Linked DNA regions of Caenorhabditis elegans. The protein of the gene in region 3 interacts with the protein of the main gene of each other region in a biochemical or structural test. Each region holds a gene or a part of one and is shown on either strand. Other genes may lie near its edges. The genes, in order: flp-5, flp-14, npr-11 and flp-34.

Region 1 (4,954 bases), 7.3 Mb from region 3:
ATTGATTTCCGCAGATTTCGGGAAGTGATGACATTTATCTGTGTAATATGACCATTGAAATGTGGGTGTACCAAATTTGTAAACTTTGATGACAGTATAAATAAAGATCGTGAACACAATAAAACAACTCTTGGAAAGTAATATTGAACACAAAAAGTACAGATGATATGGCCAATTGGTACACTTCTGCATTATTTTAGTACTCTTAATCAAGACTGAAAGAGGGTAACAAAAATTGGTTCTGTTGTGTTTTAGTATTGAATAAACCTTTTTGAAAACAAACTTCTTTAAGAAAATGAAACATGATCTTAAAATTCACACATGTCGTAAAGAAAGTCATCGAGCAAAAGTTCAAATACAAAGTTCGCGTAAAAATTCAATATGCTGAAAATTCTAGGCTTTACGGTTTGTTTGCTCGCCCGTAGACTTTTTCATTCCCGTAGCTTCCAGTTTTAATTAAAACTTTTTTGTGGGCCAAAACGGACACGTCATGTCAGGCCCCGCCGTTTCCTCCTCCGACATGTCAAATCGGTCATTCAACACTGACATTTTGCAGTTTTCGGAGAATCTCCCATTTACTACGGAGAACGCGCCGCCTAGAAACAGAATAGTTCAGTTTTTTAACTTTAGTTTAGTTGTTTTTTTTTGTGGTATCTAAGAAAAAAGAAGCAATGTGGGCTTGAAACGGGTGGATCTGAAATGAATCTTGCAATTGATATTGTTTCTTGTGTATATTATGGAAAACGGAAATGAGAATTCGGCAAGTGAACACAATACAAAACTCTCATTTTGAAGTAAAACCGGTACATGAGCACTTTTATCGGTTCGTGGAAATTATGAATTGGTACATAAACAAAATTTATAGTTGATCGTCGGAGTGTTTTTTGGGAATAGCGTTACATCGATTTGCAAGTTTTCTAAAAACCAAAGTTGATGCTCTATGACGTACTAAAACAATCACTAGAAGTCTATTTGAAATTTGAAAGGTTTCTGATTAATTTTTTGTTCTGATTTTCGTATTATTATTTTTCTCCCAATTGATAGTGACCCTGGTTCGAAAACAAATAATCCTACTCTATTATTTGTTTTCAATCAGCTTTTCGGCTTCTGACTCCATTTCTATTATCAAACTCTGGGTTAAGTCGTTAGTTTTCCGGTACCCCTTCTATTCCCCCAGAGGCTTACTAGATCGTTTACTTTTCAATCTCCACGGGGTTAAATGGGAAACATAGAGGGCATTCCGTTTTGCAAAAAGAGCTTGTTAAAGTTGAAGTCTGGAAGGAAGTACCTAAAAGTACCTAAAAAAGCTTTTGGGTCGTGTGACGAATTGCGCAGAGAATTCAGAAATCTGCTGGAGGATTCTTTTTATATTTTTGATCGCCAATATAGACGAGCTAATTCATCAAATTATGTCATGCAACTTTGACGCAAGTTATCAAAAGCATATTGCTATTTTCTGTTGTAGTAGACATGTTGATATCTTCATTTCTCCAATTATCTTCTCTTCCTACTATAATAACAACTCTTTTAGATAAAGTCTCTTCCCAAAAATAACAACTACAGTTTCAATTTACTCCTTATTTCCCATCATCTCTAGTTCAGCTCCCAACCGCTCCACATAATAGTAGAGATGGGGCGGAGCCAGTTGGCAAGCCATGCGCAGCGTCCCCGCCTTTCAGCTTCCACGACAGCACCCGCCTTTTACGAAACAGTCATTCCTCGCAACTATGAGCAGCCGAAGCACCACGATTGCTTTCCTCTTCATCGCCACCCTTCTTGTCTTCCAATGTGTTTCCGCTCAATCAAGGTAGGTTAATTTGATGTCTAGGGTTCAGGTGCTGTGATGAGCCAATTGTTAAACCCCAACTGATCAAAACTGGCCATTTGTTCTTGATTGTGATCATTGCTTCGGCTATTGAGACTATCATGGACTTCCTAAAAAGAAAAGGCGCTAGGACTTAAAGTAAAATTATTAAAAGGATTTTAAAAAAGGCTGACATAAATTACCAACTCAGACAGAAAAAAAAACACAAAAAACCAAAACTCTAACGGTGCGTGAAGGTCTAGATTGAAACAACAACGGAACCTATTAAAGTCGTAGGTACAAGCAAATTATCTTTTTCAGAAAAACTAAATACTAATACAGAAATAGTTTCAATATCCAAATTAAATCATCGTTGTACAGCTAATTGCTCAAAAGTGACGCATTTTTCATCATGCACTTTATTTCATCATCATTTTCGTAATTTTCTAATTATACAAAGATGCAATGGCGTGATTAACACACATACTAGATTCTGTTCGTTTTCTTCGGCATTTCACTTTACTACTAGCATCTTGTGCGCTTCCTACGAACTTATACCCCGGTCTCCTCCCTTTTTTTCATTCTCATGAGCATCGTAATGTGACGTGAGTTTATTCTTTTTGGGGGATCCCATCTTGTCTGTTGGACTCTTGGTGTCGGATGAAGCGGAAATATCAATCAGCCATTCAAATTCAATTGCGAGTACTAGGAGGCGCGCTTTTTGCTTATTCGCTTTGCATTCGATGCTTCCGGTGAGATGCACTTTGACCCATTCTTTCCATACTATTGTTTAAAAAATTGGAACAACTTTGTTGGGAGGCCAGAGTCTTCAGCAAGGAAAAAATAGAGATGACGTTATAAACAAAGAATGGAAGTGTTCAATGACAATATCTTTTTGAAATTACTTTTCGAAATACTCAGATTTTTAAACTGTTTGTTTTGTTTTAAAGCTTGGAATTTCCCATTCAGAACATTGAATTCCAAGCATTGAAAACAAAAACAAAAGTATGTCAAACAATAAAATAGTTGAGGACTAGTCTCTAACCTAATAGAAAAGCGAGGGTGGAATTCATAAAATTAGCTTCTTTGACCTTCAATGTAACACAAATTAGCATTCCGTTCTCGATTTATCCCGCTTCTTTAATATCAGGCAACTTTGAAACTTCCCTGTTTCATTCTTAGAAAGTCACTGGAGGGATCAGAGCACTCACAAAACATGTCTCCTTCAAAAAGTTGCCACCACTTTTTTGCTCTAGTCGTTCAATACAATTGGTAAATGAAGCGTTTAATTTTGCACTTGGCGTGCTAACATGACGCATGTGCTCATTGAGTTTGGAAAAGTAAAGTAGTTGGTTAAGCGACAAAAAGGAAAATGTGGTAACCTTCTTATCTTTTCATTTTTCAATTATTTTTGAACAATTATATGCAGAAATGTAGGTCGTGGTGAACCGAAACACAATATTAAAAATATGATAAATGGTGGTAATTAAAATAGACACATTTTCAATATTGACGTGTGAAATACGTAAGAAAAAAGACAGGAAAGGTTCTATGACATTTTAAAAAAATAAAACAACGGTCTCTTTGTTCACAAATATGGACTTTTCAATCTAATAACACCGAATATTTTCAGTGCCGAAGACGCGGACTACCTTGAAAAATACCAAAGAATAGCACGAGCACCAAAGCCAAAATTCATCCGATTCGGTCGTGCAGGAGCCAAGTTTATCAGATTTGGGCGATCAAGGAACACTTGGGTTAGTATTTCAAGAAAATAATTTTTTCAGTGAATCACTGCATAAGTCGAAAACCAAGGTTCTGAAAAGCTTGTTTCCTTGTGTTTGTTGTACACATAGCTTAAGCTGCTACCATTGTAGAAAATCCTATTCGACCCCCTTATTACGTATGCAAATTATATTCTGAAAATCTTGATTTTTATCTGTTTTGATATTTGCTGAGTCTAGAGATTTTTTTGTAATGCTGGGGAGCACCTTAAAAAAATTGTTCTAGTCGTATATGAACATTTACAAATTTCGACTAATAAGTATATGATGAGACTAATAAAGGATAAACGATGCCTGTCATTTCCAGCGAAGACGGAATACTTTTAAGTCACAAGAAAAACGTCAGAATTTCATGAAAGATCGACGTGACTGAGTACACACTGCATTACAAGCTATTAGCTTTCTGAAATATTAAAAACCCCGCTCCCCCACTATCTTTACAAACGGAATACATATATGAAAATATCACGCTAAAAAGCACTATGTCATATGCCAACACATGGATATGAGTAATGACGCATCCGAAACGTCAACTTCTCATGTATACTAACCATTATGCCATCATCATTTATTGAATTTTCAGGAAGATGGATACGCCTCACCATCGGTCAACGAGCTCTACGTTAAACGTGGAGCCAAATTCATCCGATTCGGCTAATTAGGAACAATCAACTCGTGTCGAATCACTGCTCCTACGTTGTCTAACTGCATAGTGTTTCTTAAAAAGTCCCCACCTGAAATATACCCTTTCACTCATTTATTTGTCCTCCTATTTTTTTCGAACTGTTGTGCGAACTGATATTCTTTGTGTTTTCCATTTCGACGCCTTCTCAAATGAAAAACGTTGCGTTAAATTATTATGTTTCAAAATTTTTGAATAACAAGTATCCATAATCCATGATCTTAAAAAAACAATAAGAAACACGTAAACAATTCATTATAAAATATGGACTTAATTAGACGTCTCACCTAAATATGTTTCCAAAAATTGTGTGCGTTCTTTTTTTTAATCGAAATATTAACTAAATACTGCAATCTAGTCAATCAAATGACATGTCAATGTTTGAATGTGGTTTGAAATTTTATGCCAAGGAATCAACACAATTGAACAATCATTTCATTTTGTATTACTATTGCATGTGTCAAAAATACTTAAAAACTTATTTTTGTTTAAATCTCCATACACATATCTAATCTTCAAAACTTACGATCATCCCAATTTGGTTTTTAGAAAGTGGTGGCAGTATAGATGTTATTTGAAATGTTTTTTCGTTTACTAATTTTTTTTGGCTTTGGTAGCCTTGAGTTCTACAGAAAATTGAAAAGTTGGTTAGAACAGAGGTTTCAAAAATAATTTATTTTCGAA
Region 2 (6,624 bases), on a different chromosome or scaffold from region 3:
TTAATTTCTTACAGGCAATGGCTGGACTCAACGTTGGATGCTTCCTCGGCATCGCTGCCATTTTCGTTGCAAATCTTGTCAACGATAAGATTCTACAGCGCTCGCAAAAGTTCAATAAATACGATCGTGGAGTTTACGTGCAGTAATTCGGCAGAAGTCTTGGGATTTTTTATTGCTCATTTTCATGTAAATTTCTAATACGATCTACTTATATTTATTCTTTTTTTTTTGTTCCATTTATCTCGAAGGGATCTTATAATTGCGTTTTTGTTCATTTTTTGGAATTATTGACAAAAATTCTAATAAAAAATTTACCGTACATTTTAAAAAATTCGAAGTGTTTTTTTTTCTGAGCATTCCAGCAAAACTTGTCAAAAAATCCAGATTCCCAGAAATTTCTACAAGACCCAGAAGTTTGCTTTCTTTAAATCGTTTTTAAAGTGGTTCATCGTGAACCTTGTTTAATGTCGGTTGCGCACTTATCTTCCTCTGACTTCTAGAAAATAACTCTTAACCAACGACAAGATTTATTACAATTTCTTCTTTCGACAATGCTGAGAGGGAGAGAGAAAAGAGATAGAGAGAAAAATATAGAAAAAAAAATCTTTCAAAAAAAAATGGTGTACTGTAGTTCCGTCTTTTTCTTCTTTTATTTGTATGGTTTTCAAAGATGTTTCTTCGATGATAGTAGATATTCCCTTCTTATTTGCGTCCGAAACGCAAGTATTCGTGCTTTCTCTTTCCGAATCTGAAAAAAATAGGGGAAATTTGATGGAACACAATTTCCTTTAGAGACATCGTGTGACATTTGATTTAGAAACAAACAAAAAGAACACCGAATTTGAGTCGAAAATTCAATTTTTGAAGTTTAATAGTGTTACGGAAAAGTGCGAAGATCAGAGCTTGTTCTCTCCGTTAAATTGTGCTCGAAAAATCACGGATTTCTGGCTTCCCTCATAAATTGAAATGGAAGAGTTTGCCAAACTAGGCCATTTTGGCTCGGTCATAGCTGGGGTAGATTTACGGCGCATTGCGTGTCGCGTCGCGGCTTGATTTTAGTTGTAAATCTAAATCACTTGTCCGTGTGGAGTACACGACTTTCCCACGCGTTGTCCGGCAGGCGATTGTCAATGGAGCGCGAAAAATGCAATGAGGAAGGCCTGAACCCCGTGAAAGTGGGAAAAAAAATTCGCGCATAAAATTCGATGCACAGACATCATATTTTACGCGCAAGTTTGTTACACGATTTTTCAGCCACAAATACAGGTCTCGACGCGACAAATTTTTCGTTAAATTCGAAAAGGTGTGCGACTTTGATTTTCATCGATTTTTCAAAGTTTTTCTATCATTTCCTCGAGAATTTGTCCGTATTATTTTTGTGTAAATAAATAATATTTTGCAGGACACTACAGTAATCTTTATAGGCTTTTGAATTCCTTCTGTATTAAAAAAAAACAAGCAAATTCGTGTAGAGACCTGAGAAGTATTACGGTGACGCAAAAATGACAATTTTTCGAAAAAAAAGTGCAATTGCGCTCCAAACGCTGCCATAATTTGGGTCTCGTTAAGAAAATTGGTTCCAAAAATTTCCTGGGTGTATTCATTTGTACGTTGGAGCGTATTTGCCCCCATCTAACAGTTGCAGCTTTTTGCGGCGCCATAATAACATCTGCCTACTACTGCCTGCCTATTGCCTGCTTATTGTCTTCCTACTCCCTGTCTGCCTACTGCCTGCCTACTGATTGCCTACTGCCTGTCTATTCCCTGCCTGCCTATTGCCTGCTTATTGTCTACCTACTCTCTGTCTGCCTACTGCCTGCCTACACCCTGCCTACTGTCTTCCTACTGCCTGCCTTACAACTAAAAAAAAATCACAAACCTCAAGTACTCGTGCTTCCTTTTTCCAAATCTGAGATACTCGTGCTTTCTCTTTCCGAATCGGAGGTATTCGTGCTTGCGCTTCTCCATGTCATTGTCTCCCTCGTTGGTCTCCTCCTCGAGAGCCAATCCTGCAACAACGTTTCCCATTGGGATCAGACCTCAAAGCAAGAGCACAACCATCATTAAGAATTTAAAAAGAATTTGGCGCTTTACATTTTAAAAGTCAGGGGCTTTTTCAAGAAAATGGCGGAACGTGATTGATAGTCTAGGCTTTCGGCTGGGTCACCGGAGGCTTATTTGATGCAGAGAAAATGAAGTTTGACTCATGCAGCTGGCAAATCGGATGTCTACTGTCTGCCTGCCTACTGCCTAGTTCCTGCCTACTGCCTAGTTTCTGCTTTCAGCCTACCTACTGCCTACCTACCAGGCCTGCCGGATTTTCTGCTTTTTTTTTTGAAATAATTTTGCTTTAAAAAAACCGAAAAATCGAAAAAACAAATTTCGGCGGCGCCCCTGTTTCCTACTTCTGCATACTGCCTGCTACTGCCTACTTACTGTCTGCCTACTGCCTGCTGCCTGCCTGCCTACTGCCAATTTTCGTTTTTCAGATTCCAATTTTACGGTATTTCCATTTTTCGGTTTTGCTAAGACAGAAAACCAAAAAAACTGGATAAGGCACCCCTGCTGCCTACTGCCTGTCTACTACCTGCCTACTGCCTACCTACTGCCTACCTACCAGGCCTGCCGGATTTTCGGTGTTTTTTAAAGAAAAAATTCGTTTTTCGGTTTTGCTAAAAAAAAACCAAAGGGAAAAAACTGGCAAAGGCACCCCTTCTGCCAACTGCTTGCCTACTGCTTGCCTACTGCCTACCTACAGCCTGCATACTACCTGCCTACTGCATGCCTACTGCCTACTGTCTACCTACTAGGCTTGCCGGTTTTCCTGTTTTCCGGTTTTGCTAAGACAGAAAACCAAATAAACTGGCATAGGCACCCCTGCTACCTACTGCCTGCCTACTGCCTGCCTACTGCCTGCCTGCTGCCAACTTTCGTTTTTCAGATTCCCATTTTACGGTTTTTCGATTTTTCGATTTTGCTATAAAACAACCAAAAAAAAACTGGCATAGGCACCCCTGCTGCCTACTGCCTGTCTACTGCCTGCTTACTGCCTACCTAGTATTTGCCTACTACCTGCCTACTGCATGCCTACTGCCTAGTTCCTGCCTTCAGCCTACCTACTGCCTACCTGGCCTGCCGGATTTTCTGTTTTTTTTTTTTTAATTTTCGTTTTTCGGTTTTGCTAAAAAAAAAACAGAAAAATCGAAAAAACAAATTTCGGCGGTGCCTCTGTTTCCTACTACCCGCCTACTGCCTTCCTACTGCCTGCCTGCTGCCTGCCGGATTTTCGGTTTATTTGAAAAAATTGTTGTTTTTCTGTTATGCTCAAAAAACCAAAAAAACCTGGCATAGGCACCTCTGCTGCCTACTGCCTGTCTACTGCCTGCCTACTATCTACCTACTATCTGCCTACTGCCTGCCTACTGCCAACTTTCGTTTTTCAGACTCCAATTTTACGGTATTCCGATTTTTCGGTTTTGCCCAAAAAAACCGAAAAACCTGGCAAAGGCACCCCTTCTGCCTACTGCCTGCCGACTGCCTACCTACTGCCTGCCTATTGCCTACCTACCAGGGCTGCCGGATCTTCGGTTTTTTTTTAAATTTTTTGTTTTTCTGTTATGCTCAAAAACAACCGAAAAATCGAAAAAAAAATTTTCGGCGGTGCCCCTGTTTCCTACTGCCTGCCTCTTGCCTGCCTACTGCCTACCTACTACCTGCCTACTTACCGTGAGTCTGAACGAGACGTTCAACTCCCTCCGAAACGAGAGCTCCGAGCTGAGCAAGAAGCATGCTGCTCTCGCTTAATTGGCACAAAAGCGCCTCTTGTTGATCGCCGTTGTTGGCCAGAATCTGGAAAATGTGTTTTTTTACAGTAGTACGTTTTTCAAACCCAGTGATTATTCCGGAACAAAATCCTTGGGAAAAGCACGAAAATTACATGGTTTCAAAAAAAAAACCAACCGGAAGCCTTGTAATTATAGGTTCAGATTTTTGTCGAGGACTACGGTGAGATGAAGCCCGTATTTGACAGCTCATATCTCGGCTATCTTTAGCTTTATCAAAAAGTTGTTAACTAGAAAAATATAGGTTTTTTCTTTTTCTGCAACTTTATAGTTTAAAAAATTTTGCTATCTATAAAATGAACCGAGTTATGATCTACCAAAGTGGAGTTCTAAAAAAACTTTGATCTACTACTTTCCAACCCCACAAAAAAACACATTCAAATCAAACAGAGAATAGTATGATCAGGTTAGAATCATCTAGATTAACTATGAAAAAGAAAATAGATTTTTTTTCTATTCATCGCAAGTTGTTTAATCTTTATTGTGCATCCAATCCTCCCCCGAAAAATGAGCAGAAATTGTGATCTTATTAAGTTTACTACAACCGAAACGTCATGAGGATCAAAAGAATATCATATTTATCAAATTTTTTGTCCAGAAAATGTGACGGCAGCACGTTCTTAACCATGCGAAATCAGTTAAGAAGTCTGCGTCTAAGTTCCCGCGATTCTCGTAGATCTGCGTAGATCAAACCAATACACAGTAGTCATTAGTTTTCGCTGCGTGATATTTTGCGCGTCAAATATGTTGCGCAGTACGCATTCTCAGAATTTTGAGAACCATGGGATGTATGACGTCACGCAGGCCCTAACTTAGTTTTCGAAAAACTTTTCCAAAATGCACTAAACTATCTCATTATAACTTCCACTTGCAGTTTTGAAAAAAAAAACTTTTTTAAACCCAATTATAAACATGACTTTAAACTTCTTAGAACAAAATGGTTTTTTTTTGACTCACCGCTTGACAATCCTTCGGATTGTGTGGAGCCTGTGCGGCTCCAGAAGCTCCGGCTCCAGCCGGTGCCTCCTGGCCACTGGCGGCCACGACGAACGCGGAGAGCAGAAGCGCGGTGGGCAGGCAGATCATCATATGAAGAGAGCTCTCAGTTGGAGCCAGAGGAGACTTCAAAATGGGCGGAGCTCGGTGTTGAAAGTGAAATGTTGTGGGCGTGGCTTGGTAGAGCTCGAGGAGAAGAAAAAAAAATGAAACAAAATTCAAGAGTACGGTAGCACTAAAAATTTTACGAAAAAAAAAACAAATACTAATTAGCCGAGGGGATGGGGTCCCCGGATTAGCAGGATTTCGCTAAAATTTTCCGGGAAAATTGGAAAAGAGAAAACACCTCAAACATCTGAGAATCTGCCCCGGAAGTAATAAAAAATAAAAAAAACCAAAAAAAATGTATCGGAGGTTCCGTAAGGAGGCCCAGGGGCATATTGAGTTAAGTGACAGAGGAGGTCAATGTTTGAACAGAGCAGATGTATTGATAGGTCAGGCTAGGCAAGTCTAGGAGTCTAGTGAAGAGTAGGCAAGGCTAGGTGAGCCTAGGCTAGGTGAGGCTAGGCTAGGCTAGGCTAGGACAGACTAGGTTAGGTTAGGCTAGACTCGGTAAGAATAGGACAAATTAAGCTAGGCCAGGTTAGGCAGGCGATGGATAAGTTAGGTAAGGCTAGGCCAGGCTAGGCTAAGCTAGGCAGGGATAGGTGAGGGTAGGCTTGGCTAGGCTTGACTAGGTTTGGCTAGGCTTGGCTAGGCTTGGCAAGACTGGGAAGTTAGATTAAGCTAGGCCCGGCTAGGTAGACATAGGATAAGATAGGTAAGATAAGGTTGGACTAGGTTAGTTAAGGGTATACTAAGCTAGGCTAGGCTAGGCTAGGTGAGGCTAGACTAGGTAGGCGTAGGATACGTTATGTAAGGTTGGCTAGGCTAGGCAAGACTGGGATTCTAGGCAAGGTTAGCCAAGCTGGGAGTCTAGGCTAAAATATGCTTGGCTAGGCTGGGCTAGGCCAGCCTAGACCAGCCTAGACCAGCCTAGGCTTTGCTCAAACTATTCCCAAATTAAACGTTCAGAACAAAAAAGGAAGTATAGAACCATCGCTTAATGTTGTTTTCGTGCAATTCTCCACGTGGTGCTCCGTTTTTTTTTCTTCTAAAATTTGTGTGTGCTCGTTAAGTGTTTTCTTTTCTTTTTTCACTCGAAAGAGGCTGCTCTAATTGGTCTGACTTTGTGAAAAATTGTAACTTCCAGAACAAAATAACACATTTGTCTTTTTTTGAATTGCCGCATAGTGACATAACTTGGGTCTCGTTAGGTTTTTGGCGACAAAATCGTAAATTCAAACTTTTTTATATCTCCTGATTTCGTTAATTTTTCTAATTTTTTCAGTGTGTTTTAATGTTTTTTGTGACGAAAAAAATCAAAAAATCAAAAAATCGAAAAAAATCATTAAAAATAACGAATAATAGCTAAAACGACCAAATTCCTAATGAGACCCATTTTATGAAGACGGAGCGTTCCGAGAGAGTTGGGAACATCGGCCATGACCGCGACGGAGCTTCAAAAAATTTGCGGAAATGATGCACAGGCTTCTAGCCTTCCTCATCGATTTTTTCGCGCTCCATTGACAATCGGCCGCCGGGAAAGTCGTGTGAACTCCACACGGACATTTAGTTTTACAATCGAGCCGCGACGCGACACGCAACGCGCCGTAAATCTACCCCAGATATGGCCGAGCCAAAATGGCCTAGTTCGGCAAACTCTTCCATTTCAATTTATGAGGGA
Region 3 (6,364 bases):
TCTCGCAGTACTTAGCAGGCTTTCTCATCAAAAACACCAATAGCGTTTTTGTGTGGCTCCGGAAGAAAAGAGCATTCCTGGTTTTAATAAACTTTTCCTGGTTCTGATAAAAACCGAAAACAACGGGATTCTTAAAGGTGGAAAAATAACAGAAATCTGAAAATTTGCTTTTTTTAGATTCAATTTGACATGAAACTACCGAATTTTGTACTGAAAGGTTTTGAAATTTATTCGAAAAACATGAAATGGTGGTGTAAAATTTTGGAAAAAAAAGTTGTATCTTAGCCAAAATTAAAATTTTTTCAATTAAATAAAATCAGAACTTGAATAAGTAAGTTTCATTTAATTATTACCCTTTATGAAAATTTACTATAAAATCCAAAATTTTGATAAAATAATTGTTATTTAGTTTTGCTTAAAATTTTCTCAAAACAAAGTTAAGTTGGATCAAAGTTTTGGAAAAATCCGATTTTGCAGTAGATTAGATTGATTTTTTTTTAACTAAAATCAAAAAATCAAACATTTTCTTGTTTGGTTTTTGATTAAAAATTATAATTTTATCGTTAATTTTCTGTAAACTTTTATACAAAATTAACGATTTAATTGTTCAAAAAAATGGAAAAATTTTTCGATTTTCCGATTTTCCCTTTAAAAAATTGAAGAAAATCGGAATTTTTTACTTCAGATTTTCAAAAAACAAACATTTTAATTTATCGATTTTTCGAAAGTTTCCCTGTAAAAATCAAAAAATCGAAAAAATGTGTCGCAGGGGGTGATAATTTAATGAACCTTATTTCTTCAAGTTGGGACTTTTTTAATTGGCAAAATTGTGAAAAAACGAGATTTTAGCTCAAAAAACCCCTCATTTCTACAATTGTTTTTCGGAAAAAAAAATTTTCGAAAATTTTTGGTCTGAAAAATGGAAAGTCTCAAGGTCTCAGATTTTGGAACTCCACCTTTAAAAACACACAAAGTTCTGTTTTCTGATACCAGTTTTCTTTTGTTGATGTTGTTGTTGTGTTTCACTTCTCCATTTCATATCCGGCCCGTTCCTGCATTTCCGATGTTTATGGATATCCACCACAAGATGGCAGAGAGAAATGTTTAAAAAAACCGACCTGGGTGGCCGAAATAAATGGCGGTTGAAAAGACGAGTTCCGTCAAAACAAAGTCATATAAATTTTTTATTCTTGTGGTGATGCTACTAGTTTGGTTTAATCGTATTTGGTTGTCTCTGGTGAGCTCATTCACCGCTTCTTTTGTTTTTTCAAAATTATTTTTCATGAACTGCTCCCACACATTTATTAATTTTTGCTATTTCCTATAGCTTTTGACTGTTTGCGAGATTCTTTCGAATTTGGTGCAATTCTTAACAGTAAACCAAAAATTATGGTCATTGCAATGGAGATGTGGTCAGTGCAACTGATAAAGTCAATCAAAATTTTTGTCAGTGCAAATGATATAGTGGTCAGTGCAACTGAAAATTTTGTCAGTGCAATTGGCATATATGATAGCCATTGGATAAAGTCATTCGAAGTTTTGGTCAGTGCAACTAAACATCTTGTCAGTGCAAGTTGTGTATTTTTAGGCAGCATAACATAGATGATTGTGGCTGGTAAAATTGAAAAAATATTATTAAAAAAAAAAACTAAGTTATTCCTGAAATTCGGTGCACATATTGCTCCCAAACCCCTGTCTTTCAACGTTATTGTTTTTATAAAGTTTCAATTTAAAAGGGATATGGGAGTAGACACCGGGGCGGGAGAATGAGTTAAATGAGATGATAGTTTTCACTTTTCAATTTTCATTTCTTCTCTATAATTCGCAGTAATTACCTCTCATTTTTTGATATTTTTCTCTTATAACCGACCGACTAACCACTAGTCTGGATGCTCAATTTCTTGGAATATTCGTTTATTTATTTCCCTTCTGTGTGAGAAAATTGGCGTTTCACATATTTTTTTTCTTGCCTTCAATTTCATCTCCCGTATTTTTGTATTTTCGTCGGTATTTTCAGAACTTTCAACAAATGGGATCGGTGAATGAATCATGTGACAATTATGTAGAAATTTTCAACAAAATCAACTACTTTTTTCGAGATGATCAGGTTATCAATGGGACTGAGTATTCACCAAAAGAGGTTGGTATTCAAAAAGACAATTTTTTTAAATTTTGTCAGTGCAAATCAAAACTTTGTCAGTGCAAATTTAAAAATGGTCAGTGCTTACTCAAAACTTAACATTCAAATTTTCAGTTCGGATATTTCATCACATTCGCATACATGCTGATCATTTTGTTTGGAGCAATAGGCAACTTTTTGACAATCATCGTAGTCATACTCAACCCAGCAATGCGGACAACAAGGAACTTTTTCATTTTAAACTTGGCGCTGTCGGACTTTTTTGTGAGTATTTTTTGCTGGAATTATTGAAGATAGGAAACAATTTGAAAAATTCCAGGTTTGTATTGTGACAGCGCCGACCACATTATACACGGTTCTCTACATGTTCTGGCCATTTAGCAGGACATTATGCAAAATTGCGGGTTCGCTGCAAGGCTTTAACATATTTTTATCCACATTCTCGATAGCCTCAATTGCTGTTGATAGGTATGTACATATATTTTTTTTAATTAAAAATGCCATTTAACAAGTTTTCAGATACGTGCTCATTATCTTCCCAACGAAGCGAGAACGACAACAAAATCTGTCGTTCTGCTTTTTTATCATGATCTGGGTGATTTCCCTAATCCTTGCGGTTCCACTTCTGCAGGCTTCTGATTTGACACCGGTTTTCGTTGAGCCATCGTGCGATTTGGCTCTTTACATTTGCCATGAGCAAAATGAGATATGGGAAAAGGTTGGTTCTTAGTGGTCTAAATGAACTATAAACTAAACAATAAGCTTCATGTATCAGCTCCTATTAATGAAATATAAAAACTGTCTATGTACTGTAGTATTACTGTAATAATTAGGTTAATATGGTGTGACGATAGTCAAGGGAACTTGCTTAATACTTTCTATGGAAATTTGCTTTGAGTAATAGAAAATGTGTCATAATTTCCAAATACATAAAAGAGTTGAAAAAAAATTTAAAAAAATTGTTCCGATTTTTTAAAATTTTCAAATAAAATTTCAAATGACTTTTTAAAGTTTTCAGTTTTCTGAAAACATGTTAACTGGTATTATATTAACCAGTATGTATGGAAATATAAAAACAAATATAAAAAAAGACAATTTCGGCTAAACTCCAATTTTTCCAGATGATCATATCAAAAGGCACCTACACGTTGGCAGTTCTTATCACCCAATACGCATTTCCCCTGTTTTCACTAGTCTTCGCCTACTCCCGGATAGCACATCGGATGAAGCTGAGATTTGCAAACCGAAATCAGAATGTGACAACAAATACCAATACGAGTCAGAGGAGACGGTAAGAAATTTTTGAAATGTTTTTGTTTCGAAAAATGTAAAGTTCCACGTTTTAAGTGGCATTCGAAATTTTTGAAACACTGTTCTAACAGAACTTTTCTGAGAAAATCTGACCCACCTGGGCCGAATACCACAATTTAAAAATTGAAACAATTTTCTAAATTTGATGTAATTTTTTTTGAAAATTGGGAAAATCTCTATTTGTGCAAAAAAAATAAATAGCCCAATAAAAATTTTTAGAGCATTTTTTGAAATGTTTTACTATGATATTTGACACCATAGGAGTTGTTTTTATCAATTTACCCATTTGGGCTATTCCACCTTTACTACTGTGAAACTTCGAGAAAAATGTGCTCAAAATTTGTTATTTTATCTGCGGTCATAAAATTTTCAAAAAATGTTAGTAAAAAACTTTAATTTTTTGTAAAAAAATCATGTGAATGAACTTATACTAAACTGATATCTACAACATTTTGAAATTAACCCAATCACCCAATTTCAAGTTATTTTTGAAACTTTCGGATCATTACTTGCCTGGAGAACTAAATTTTGAGCTTATTCAAAAATCAAACAACTTAAAATTTTTCACATAATTTATTGTACAAAATAGATGTTCTTCGAAATAAAATTATTTTAAAAAAAGTTCCAGATCCGTCGTGGAACGTCAACGACGCACCCACCTCCTTCTTGTATGCGTTGTAGCTGTATTCGCCGTCGCCTGGCTGCCACTCAACGTTTTTCATATCGTAGGAGCATTTTCGTTTTATGTTCCACTAAAACCATAACAAATTTCAGTTCAACACATTCGAGCTGGTCAACAGTTTTTCCGTTACAACGTTCAGCATCTGTCACTGCTTGGCAATGTGCTCGGCGTGCTTGAATCCGCTGATCTATGCATTTTTCAATCATAACTTCCGGATCGAATTTATGCATCTTTTCGATAGAGTTGGGTTGAGGTTTGTGAACATTTTAAGTTAATTTTGGTAACACTTATGTGTAAAGTTGGTGGAAAATTTTTGCAATTTTGTCATTTTGCACAAAAACGTCCAGTACCAGGTCCCGTCACGATACATTTTTGTTAAATACAAAAGTATGTGCGCCTTTGAGGAAGGAGTACTGTAATTTTCAAACTTTATTATCGCTAAAATTTCATGAATTTTTCATAGACATACGGTTTTCTCAAATTTTCAATTATTAATTTGATGATTTTTTTTTTCGTAAAATTAGTTGATAAAAACAATGAGTTGTAAACTACAGTACTCTTTAAAGGCTCACCTTCCAATTTTTGAAAAAAAATTGCCGTGTTAAGACCCTGCCGGCAGGTGGTCTAAACACAGTGGGGCTATTACACTGTGGAAAACCTTTCCTCAAGAGTTATATAAATATAATAGGAACTACCAAGGTACTGTAATAGTTTGGTAGAAGAACTGTTGCGGTGTGTGGCCTGGTTTACAGCTTTTGTATCAAAGTCGTGATACACCCAGAAAATAAAAGCGATCTACCAATTAAGCGCCCTAAGTTGACACGCATAATAAAGAGGTCCTTTATTATGGGAACATAAAATTTTGAGAATGCGTATTGCACAACATATTTGACGCGCAAAATATCTCGTAGCGAAAACTACAGTAATTCTTTAAATGACTACTGTAGTGCTTGTGTCGATTTACGGGCTCAATTTTTGAAGTGATTTTCTTTTTGAATAGGGACATCAATATTCCATTTTTTTTCGTTTTTGTTATATTTTCCTCCTTAATTTATATATTATATTGATAAACAAATGATTTTAATTCAATTTGAGAATCAAGCTCCTAAATCGACCTACAGTAGCCATTTAAATAATTACTGTAGTTTTCGCTGCGAGATATTTTGCGCGTCAAATATGTTGTGCAGTACGCATTCTCACAATTTTGTGTTCCCGTAATACCATTGATCTACAAAAATTGCGGAGATTAGGCTCACGGAATAATGAGTAAATTTGAAGAAAATTATAGATGGTTGTACTGTAGAAAAATCTGAAAATTCAAAAAAATATCGCAATATTCCAGATCCCTTCGAGTCGTGATATTTGGAGAGCAAGAGTCGCTCAAGAAAAGTATGCGCACTGAATTCAGAAGCCGTGGAGGCTGTAAGACGGTAACTACTGCAGAGCCAGCAACCTTCCAGAGAATGAATGAAAGTATGATTCTGAGTGCGATGGAGCAAGATGAGCAGCTGTGATTGTTTAAGAAAACATGTAGGGTAACAATAAATCATTCCGTCATTGTTTCAAAACGCTTCTAAAACCTAATTTATTTGATTTTGATGTTCTTTTTTTTTACTTTTTTTTTCGTTTCCGTCAGTATGTTGCTGATTCAGCCTATTATGTTTCACATATGAAGATTTGTAAATGAAGCTTGTCATAAGAGAGATGATTGGTCAAATTTGAGAGAAGTGACCGAAGATTAGGGAGGGGACTGACTGAAATGCGCAGTCATGCGGAAAATTTAGGGTATTTTTGAGTTGAACAACCATATTGTTCGGCAGCTTTTCAAAACAAATGGCGTCATGGATATGGAAGTTTTTGGTTCTTCGTTTCGAGACAGGAAAGTGAATTTTAATGAACTACTCATCGGAAACTGGTCAAAAAAGCTTGTTTTTTTTAAGGGAGGGGGGATTTGATGTAAGAATGATAACAAAAATCTTTTGGGACAAAAGTATATACTCACGTGGAGTCAGAATATCTCATTTCGGTTTGATCTTCAAAAAATGCGGGAGTTGAGACGCAGACATCTCAATTGATTTTGCATGGTTAAAAGTGTGCTGACGTCACAATTTTTGCAAAAATATTCCCGCATTTTTTGTAGATCAACCTGTGATGAGACAGCCTGACGCCACGTGTATACTGTGTACACTAAAAAATGCAAACGCTACGTTTGAGTATTATATGCAAATGTA
Region 4 (7,753 bases), on a different chromosome or scaffold from region 3:
TAGGCATAAAGCAGGCGTAGGTACTTTCGTAGGCATGCCAAAAACAACAACTATATTTGCACAGGACCTTGTAGGGCCTAGAAATTTCTAAAGTTGTTAAACTATTTCTAAACCAAAACGAGTCCCAGTTTTCCAGTTTACGAAATTTTTTGTTGTTAGATAGTTTTGGTTCTTAACCTTTTTTCTAATTTGTCAATACCAAAACAAATTCATCAATCAGGTGAATGACGCTTAGACGATTCTGATTGATTAGAAATTTTTTAATTAACCTTTTTGGTTACTTGGAATTGATTAGAAAATGTTTTGGCCTTATGGTGAACTAAATAAACGGTGCAAAACTTCAGTCAATTTGCCTTGTGTCTTCAAATTTTCATGGGATCTCTGAAAATTTACAAAAACTCTACCTAAAAACGATATGTTTACCCAAATGTAGTTCTCACAACAATCTATATTTGGGATCTCAAAATTATTTTTAGTTCTCTAACGTCATTTATTCTCACTGCTAATTATGAAATATGTACGAGGAAATTTCGTGGCAATTTTTATTTCTCGAAAGTTCCAAAATTTCCATTTTCCCATGGTCAACTGTAGTAAAGAAATATTTTAGAAAATTGACGTCACACTCAGCCGAAATTACGGTAGAATTTTTTTTTGAGTTTTTTTAATTGAAGTCAAAAAAGGGAAAACTAAATTTCCCCTTTCGCCAATTTTGGAGGTCAACCCTCTTTTTTTTTGGAAAATTAGATTTTTTGCCAATAACTTTGTCTATATAAAATTTTTGAAAAACCTGAAATATTCTCAAACATTTGAAAATTTGAAAATCTGAATGTATGAGTGTATTAAGACCAGAGGTGCGCGGTAAATATTTTTACCGGCAAAGTCGGCAATTTGCCGTTTTTCGAGTTTCCGGCAAATTCGGCAAACCGGCAATTTGCCAAAAACAAAAATTGCCGGAAATCCGGAAAATGGTCGGAGTTGAAAATTTCCGACAAATTCGACAAACCGGCGATTTGCCAAAAATTAACATTTCCGGTTAATCGGCAAATTGCCGGAATATAGAATTTCCGGCAAATTCGGCAAACCGATAATTTGCCAGAAATGAAAATTGTCGGCTAATCGGCAAAATTTTGGAATTGAAAATTTCCGGCAAATTCGGCAAACCGGCACTTTGCCGAAAATTTTGAAATTTGCAGACCACGTGCTTGATTTGCATCAAGTTCTCATGCCCTTTAAATTATTTTCTCTCTATACAGATTTCCTCATATACATTGACATCATGCCCTCTAACAACAAGAATAAAAAAATTAAATATTAATTTGTATTCGAATTCGGAAATTTCCTTTTTTTGCGCTTTGTGTCTCAAATAATATGCGGTGCTAATGAATTTTTCATTCCGAAATACGACGGACTTGTTGAAGGATTTCCTGAGTTTTCACAATTTTACGTGTATTATTCGAATTTTTACAGGAATCTTGCAGTTTCTGACTCTGGTCCAGACGTGGCCGCGAAAATTAGAAAATTCGGCCAGGAATTTATTTTTGATATTTTTTGTTTTTTGCGGCCTCTAGTATGAATACTGTATGCTAATCTCGAGGTTTTTAAATTAAAAAAAATACTCATGGCCGAGTTTCCAATTTCCTAGGCCACGTAGCAGCCGCATTTCACCTCAAACTCTCATTTTCTCGGAAATTTTTGCTGAATTCCTTTGAAATTCAGCTCAATCTCTAAAAATTTTACTTTCAGGTACCCCCGTTGCAGAATAAAAATGCACAGCTTGATCACAGAATTGCTCATTTTCTTCACAGTTCTTCTTTCTGTCAGGTAATTTTTTTAATTATTTTTTAAGACAATTACATGGTTCATTTCAAAGCTCTAAAGAAGATTCTAAAGGCTTACAACTAGAAAATTTAACCTTGGCAAGCAGGTAGGTACTTGAACTTTTTTTTGGTACAATATTCCTAAAATTCTTCAAATAATCTGAGCTCTTTAGCAAACAAAAGTTGTCAAAATCTATGAAACTAGATCAAAAATTGGTTTTTGAAAAGCAAAAACGAATCAAATTTCATTTGTACCAGGTGAAGGGTTTTTTGATAACTAGATCAACATTTTATTTATGCAGAATCACTTTTTTTATTATGAAACTACATTTGAAAAAAATGTATTCAAAAATATGAGGAAGCAATTAGGCTTTCGAAACTCGCAAACATAGTATTTTTGGAAGGTCTCGCAGTAAAATTCAAGTGACGTCATACCGATGAATTTCCCGCAATTTTTATAGGTAAAACCGATATAGATTACTATATGTGACGTAGAAAAATATAAAAGTCGATAAAAATTACCTTGTTCGAAATTTAAATGTGGACGGGTTTTATCTTTCTCGTGGACGCGTTAGAAGGAGACCTGCCTGCCTATGTGCCTACCTATTGCCTACCGCCGCCTCCAATAAAAATGCATATTTGCTAATTTCTGTCTATTTTCATTTCCATTAAGTTTCTTCATGGGGTTTGCTTTGAAGGCAGGCAGGCAATTAGGTGCCTGCTGTCGGAAATTGCATAGCATCAACAATTTTTGGAAAATTTGAAATTGAGGAAATTTACTTTTTATTTTTATTTTTATTTCCAAACAGAGGGATGGGGCTCATTTACAAAACTCATTTTTATCCAAAAAAATTTTTTGAAAATATTTTTTTGGAAAATTATATAGAAATGTAGAGAAATATCTGTTCTTTCTGAAAACAATTTTATCTTTATTTAAAATGTTTGAGAAATTGCCGAAAAACTGCCTCAAAGCCGGCCGTAATGCACCTAGGGTCACTGACTCTATCGGCACATTTTGACTTTTAGGTGGGTTTTGAGCAGCTTTTTGAATTTTTAAAGAAAAAAGTAATACCATTATCAGAAAGTACAAATGTTTTTCTATATTTCTGTATAAATTTTCGAAAAAAATTGCCGGAATTGCTAAAATTTTTAGAAATTTCAAAACTATAATATTTCAGCTATTTCAGAAATTCCTGAGCCCACTCCCTCGTAGGAACCCAATTATGAAATTGTAATTTTGGCAGAGAGGGAAAATAATTTGTTTTTTCGCAAATAAAAGTGACGCGGTGATGCTTTCAAAATTGAAATATATACATGTATATATCTGTGTATATTTTTCTGTTTTTCCATATTTCCCTCCTCGAAAACCGCTAACAAATTCTATCCGGTTACCCAATTTCGGTTTAAAACCATTCCATTTAATTGGCACCACATTTCCGTTTAGCTTCTTCCTGCTTTAAGCCTAAAACCTAATTTACCACCCAAAAAGTCGTAAAACAATCGTATTATTGTCATGGATTCATCGTATAGTATATAAAAATACCGTAGCTGTGTGTGATGACGTGGCAACAAGAAAAAATTAAAGAAGAATGTGATGAAAGGCAGGCATCATTTCCTGGGAGCACCCACCATTAGGCGCCGCCCACTTTTGGCTCGGCGAGCAAGAGGGGGGAGAAAGCTCATTCTGTTTTCGACACCCGATACATACACTCACACACATTTTCCACTACTAAACATATTTTCTAAAACATGCAGTTCCAATTTTTGATGGCTCTGATTTTTGTTGCTTTGGTTTTAACTGACAGGTTGGTACTGTGGGGGTACTGTGGGGGTACTGTAGGGGTACTGTAGGGAATGGTACTGTAGATTTTTTTTGTTGAAAGTACGGTAGTTTTATTATATGATTTTTTTTAATTTGAAAGTTGTTGGTTATGAATTTTTTGAATTTTTTTAAATACGAAAATTTTGTTTTAAAATTTGGTAAGAGACCATATTTCTGTTTACTGTGATCCTACATTATTTTAACATTACTATAGTGTATTACTGTAGTATTACTGTAGTATTACTGTAGTACCTTTAACTGAACCAAAATCTATAACTTAATACATTGGTTGGGCCAAAAATATTTTGCAAAAATTTTTTTAATGATTTTTGTTCAAAAACTATTTTAAGGGTGCAGTATCATCTAGGATAATTAGAAAAAACTCAATATTTTTCAAAAAAAAAATTACTATAGTCTCATTAAATATATGTGTTAATTTGTAAGTTATAAGGTTTTTTTTTTGAATTTTTGGAAAAAAGAAAAAAAAATCCAAAATTTGGTTAAAATTTTTTGGGTCGAAGTTTGAATTTCTGAGCTTTTTTTTTAATTTTTTGGATAAGCTTATGTTCATTTCAGTTTAAGACAATTTTTAGAATCACAAAATTAATTGGGATAACTTTGGAAAAAAATCAGAACAATTTTAAAAAATCTAAAAATTATAAAAACTTGATGTTTTCTAATTTTTGAACTTACTACTCAGTTACTTACTCAAATTTAAATCTTTTCGAAATCTAAATTTAGCTTGTCTGCGCAAAACATCATGGCAGGTGAATTTCTGTTTGAAAAAAATGTTTTCGACCAAAAATTGCAGTTCAACTTTTCTCAATGACGTGGCAAAATTGAGATAAGTAGGATTTTTTTCATGATCTTTTTTGAAAATCCACAAAAAAAAAGTAATTCTGAAACAAAAGGGGATTAATTTGGAGTATTAGTCAATGCTCATGAGTAATAAATTGTGAAAAAGTCAACAAGGAAGCATCTCAAAACAATCAAAAACTAGGCTTAATCCCCCATCTAGATTTGGATCAACAAATTTTTGATAAATTCAGATATGTAGTAATACTGTTAATAGTTGAACCAAAAATTCTAAAAATTGAAATTTTTTTAAAAATTTTTTAAAGTTTTAACCTGTTTCCTATTTAGAAATTTCATACATTTTGAATTTCGAACATGATGCATCAAAAACTGAAATTTCACAAATCGCGACGAGACCCACCAAAACTTGGGCATGCGCCTTTAATACATTTCTGGGCGTAGTTTAAATTTAAATTTGAAAATTTCAAATTTCCGTTCATTTGCGCTGGAATTAAAAAAAATCGTAGTCCCTGTAAACTTTTTTAAGAATGTATATAAAAAATCCTCGAAAATTTGGAAAAATTATATAATTTTTTAAAACAGTTATATTCGGTATACTCACGTGGCGTCAAGCTGTCCCATTACGGTTTGATCTACAAAAAATGCGGGAATTTTCTGCCCAGAAAAATGTGACGTCAGCACGTCCTTAACTATACAAAATCAGTTGAGAACTCTGCGTCTCTTCTCCCGCATTTTTTGTAGATCTACGTAGATCAAGCCGAAATGGGACACTCTAACACCACGTGTATACTTAGACTATGTTATGATATTCAAGTAAAAAGGATTACTGTAGCAATAGTTTCAGCTGTGTCACGACATAAAAAAGTTTTGCAGCGTACTATCCCTGCCACTGGAGAAAAAAGCAGACATTTCCACATTTGCATCAGCTATCAATAATGCTGGACGGCTTCGATACGGCAAACGATCGGACCCCGCAATGTGGGAAGAAAAGTGAGTACTGGGAAATTTGCGCGTAAGATATGGTGCATCGAGGAACACCAGATTTGACGCGCAGAAATTTGAAAACTAGTTGGTCATGGAAAAAATTCTAGACGCTGGTTCAAACCTATGCGATTTCTAAACTTTTTCCACAATTTGGAGCCCAGCGATCGGTACGTAGTGTGCACTTTTTCTATCTTTTCAGTTCATTTTTCTTGAAAATTTAAGTTTTTTTTAACATTTTCAATTTCCGAGTGACATTTTTCAATAATTTCAACGCACTCCAACCTTTCGAAATCCAATAAAAGTGTGTGTTTTGACCGGAAATCTCAAATTTGTGTCTAGCAAAAGGAGATGCTCTTTACAAACTTGTTTGCTCCAGCAACAACCCACCACTTTTCTTCGAAATCATCACGTCATTTGAAATAAGAACTTTGCAATTATAAAAGTAATGTAGCCTATGAGAAATTTGTGATTTTCAGTAATGTCATCATTCCATCATCGGAAGATCAGTACCTCTACTCGGAAGGACGTTATCCGTACGCATTGTGAGTTTCTCACTGGGGTAAAAGAACCTAGGCAGGCTTATAGCCTAGGTCTATAGCCTAGACCTATATTCTAGGCCTACAGTTACCTACAGCTTAGCCGAGACCTATGGCCTAGCCTAGACCTATAGCCTGGCCTAGGCCTATAGCCCGGCCTAGGCCTATAGCCTAGCCTAGGCCTGAAAATTGAAGAACAAAATTTAGGAGGCAGGTGAAATTTTGAAGTAGTAAATATAGAATAAATTAGTGATTAATCAAAATTTCACCTGTTTGTTCCTGCATTTTGGAACGTAGATCAAAATTTGGAACTAATTGAAAGTGGATTAGCGGAGGAGTTTTATGACGTGGGGGCGCTTAAGCTTCAAAGCTATAAAAAGATGTTTCCGAATTTTCAAGATTTAAACCCTCTCAACAAAATACAATTTTAAAATGTACAATTCGAATGACAAATGGTTGAATAGATAATTAGAAATTTGGCAGAGAGTTTGAAAAAAAAAGGACATTTTTCTCGGAATCAGAAAGTCGTGGCGTTTGGTCGGGTCATTGGGATGAAAATTTTTCAAATTTTTTGAGGAAATCCTCCTGAAACTAAAAATTATTTCAGAATCAAACGTGCGCTGAACAGAGACTCCCTGGTGGCTTCTCTCAATAATGCGGAACGATTACGGTAATTTTTAATTTTATTTTTCGAGATTACGCCTATGGCCTACGCCTATGGCCTACGCCTATGGCCTACGCCTATGGCCTACGCCTATGGCCTACGCCTATGGCCTACGCCTGTGGCCTACGCCTATGGCCTACGCCTATGGCCTACGCCTATGGCCTACGTATATGGCCTACGTATATGGCCTACGCCTGTGGCCTACGCCTGTGGCCTACGCCTATGGCCTACGCCTATGGCCTACGCCTATGGCCTACGTATATGGCCTACGTATATGGCCTACGCCTATGGTCTACGCCTATGACCTACGTCTATGGCCTAAAACAAAATATAATCCATTTTATTTTCAGATTTGGCCGTAAATAATTCCATCACGTCAGCCCGTCCGTAGCCGTCTCGTTTTTTTTTCTAAATTTTCTCTCTCGAGGTTTTGTTTTTATTTCAGATATTTAATTAATTTATTTATTCTCTAAAAAATTTTCCTCATTCAAAAATTCGCTTATTCAAATTTTTCATCATTCACCATCTTCCTGTCTTGTATCAAATCAGTCCCCCCAACTCGTTTTTATTTTTTATTTCTTTCTCAAAAAAAAATCAAATAAAGTTTGTGAGTCTGTTGTTTTGAAATTTATTTGATCTAAAAAGAGCGGGAACAGAATGGTCGAATAAACAATCGGGATATTAGTGCGCCAAAATTTTTTTTGGTTTGAATTTTTGATTTGAATATGATATTTGTGGACATTGAAGTTTGATCTTTTTTTTTGTCATAGGCGTAGGCCATAGGCGTAGGCCATAGGCGTAGGCCATAGGCGTAGGCCATAGGCGTAGGCCATAGGCGTAGGCCATAGGCATTGGTCAAAGACGGTTGCTATAGGCGTAGGCCATAGGCTTAGGTAATAGGCGTAGGTAATAGGCGTAGGCCATAGGCGTAGACCGTAGGCGTAGGCCATAGGCGGAGGCCATAGGCGTTTGCCATAGGCGTAAGTCATAGGCGTAGGCCATAGGCTTCGAGTGAATTCAGAATTCTCAATCTCAAATGTTTATTTTAATTTCCTCAGAATAAACTTTTGCCAGATGTCAGATTAAATGAATACAATTTCGAATGAGTCCACTT

The links.
Region 1: of the proteins of npr-11 (region 3) and flp-5, one has a biochemical effect on the other in vitro, tested with the Caenorhabditis elegans proteins (one study listed by BioGRID).
Region 2: of the proteins of npr-11 (region 3) and flp-14, one has a biochemical effect on the other in vitro, tested with the Caenorhabditis elegans proteins (one study listed by BioGRID).
Region 4: of the proteins of npr-11 (region 3) and flp-34, one has a biochemical effect on the other in vitro, tested with the Caenorhabditis elegans proteins (2 studies listed by BioGRID, with this or other methods).

Annotation. Positions count from the first base shown.
Region 1 is NC_003284.9:8,526,595-8,531,548, forward strand, and holds flp-5 (GAKFIRF-amide), read left to right. Parts: upstream 1-1,726; 5' UTR 1,727-1,727; coding exon 1,728-1,807; intron 1,808-3,437; coding exon 3,438-3,561; intron 3,562-4,171; coding exon 4,172-4,246; 3' UTR 4,247-4,439; downstream 4,440-4,954. UniProt on the Caenorhabditis elegans protein: FMRFamides and FMRFamide-like peptides are neuropeptides. GAKFIRF-amide has an excitatory effect on dissected pharyngeal myogenic muscle system.
Region 2 is NC_003281.10:12,908,819-12,915,442, reverse strand, and holds flp-14 (KHEYLRF-amide 4), read right to left. Parts: upstream 4,934-6,624; 5' UTR 4,932-4,933; coding exon 4,800-4,931; intron 3,850-4,799; coding exon 3,726-3,849; intron 2,010-3,725; coding exon 1,880-2,009; intron 749-1,879; coding exon 703-748; 3' UTR 513-702; downstream 1-512. Other genes in the region: Y37D8A.16 (MARVEL domain-containing protein), read left to right, coding at 15-146.
Region 3 is NC_003284.9:1,251,281-1,257,644, reverse strand, and holds npr-11 (Putative neuropeptide Y receptor 11), read left to right. Parts: upstream 1-1,997; 5' UTR 1,998-2,029; coding exon 2,030-2,140; intron 2,141-2,254; coding exon 2,255-2,404; intron 2,405-2,459; coding exon 2,460-2,608; intron 2,609-2,659; coding exon 2,660-2,858; intron 2,859-3,261; coding exon 3,262-3,431; intron 3,432-4,079; coding exon 4,080-4,176; intron 4,177-4,225; coding exon 4,226-4,386; intron 4,387-5,475; coding exon 5,476-5,647; 3' UTR 5,648-5,830; downstream 5,831-6,364. UniProt on the Caenorhabditis elegans protein: Could be a receptor for neuropeptide Y and peptide YY.
Region 4 is NC_003283.11:1,027,398-1,035,150, reverse strand, and holds flp-34 (FMRF-Like Peptide), read left to right. Parts: upstream 1-1,746; 5' UTR 1,747-1,765; coding exon 1,766-1,821; intron 1,822-3,498; exon of another isoform or gene 3,499-3,566; coding exon of another isoform or gene 3,567-3,622; intron 3,623-5,328; coding exon 5,329-5,445; intron 5,446-5,915; coding exon 5,916-5,981; intron 5,982-6,582; coding exon 6,583-6,645; intron 6,646-6,989; coding exon 6,990-7,005; 3' UTR 7,006-7,257; downstream 7,258-7,753.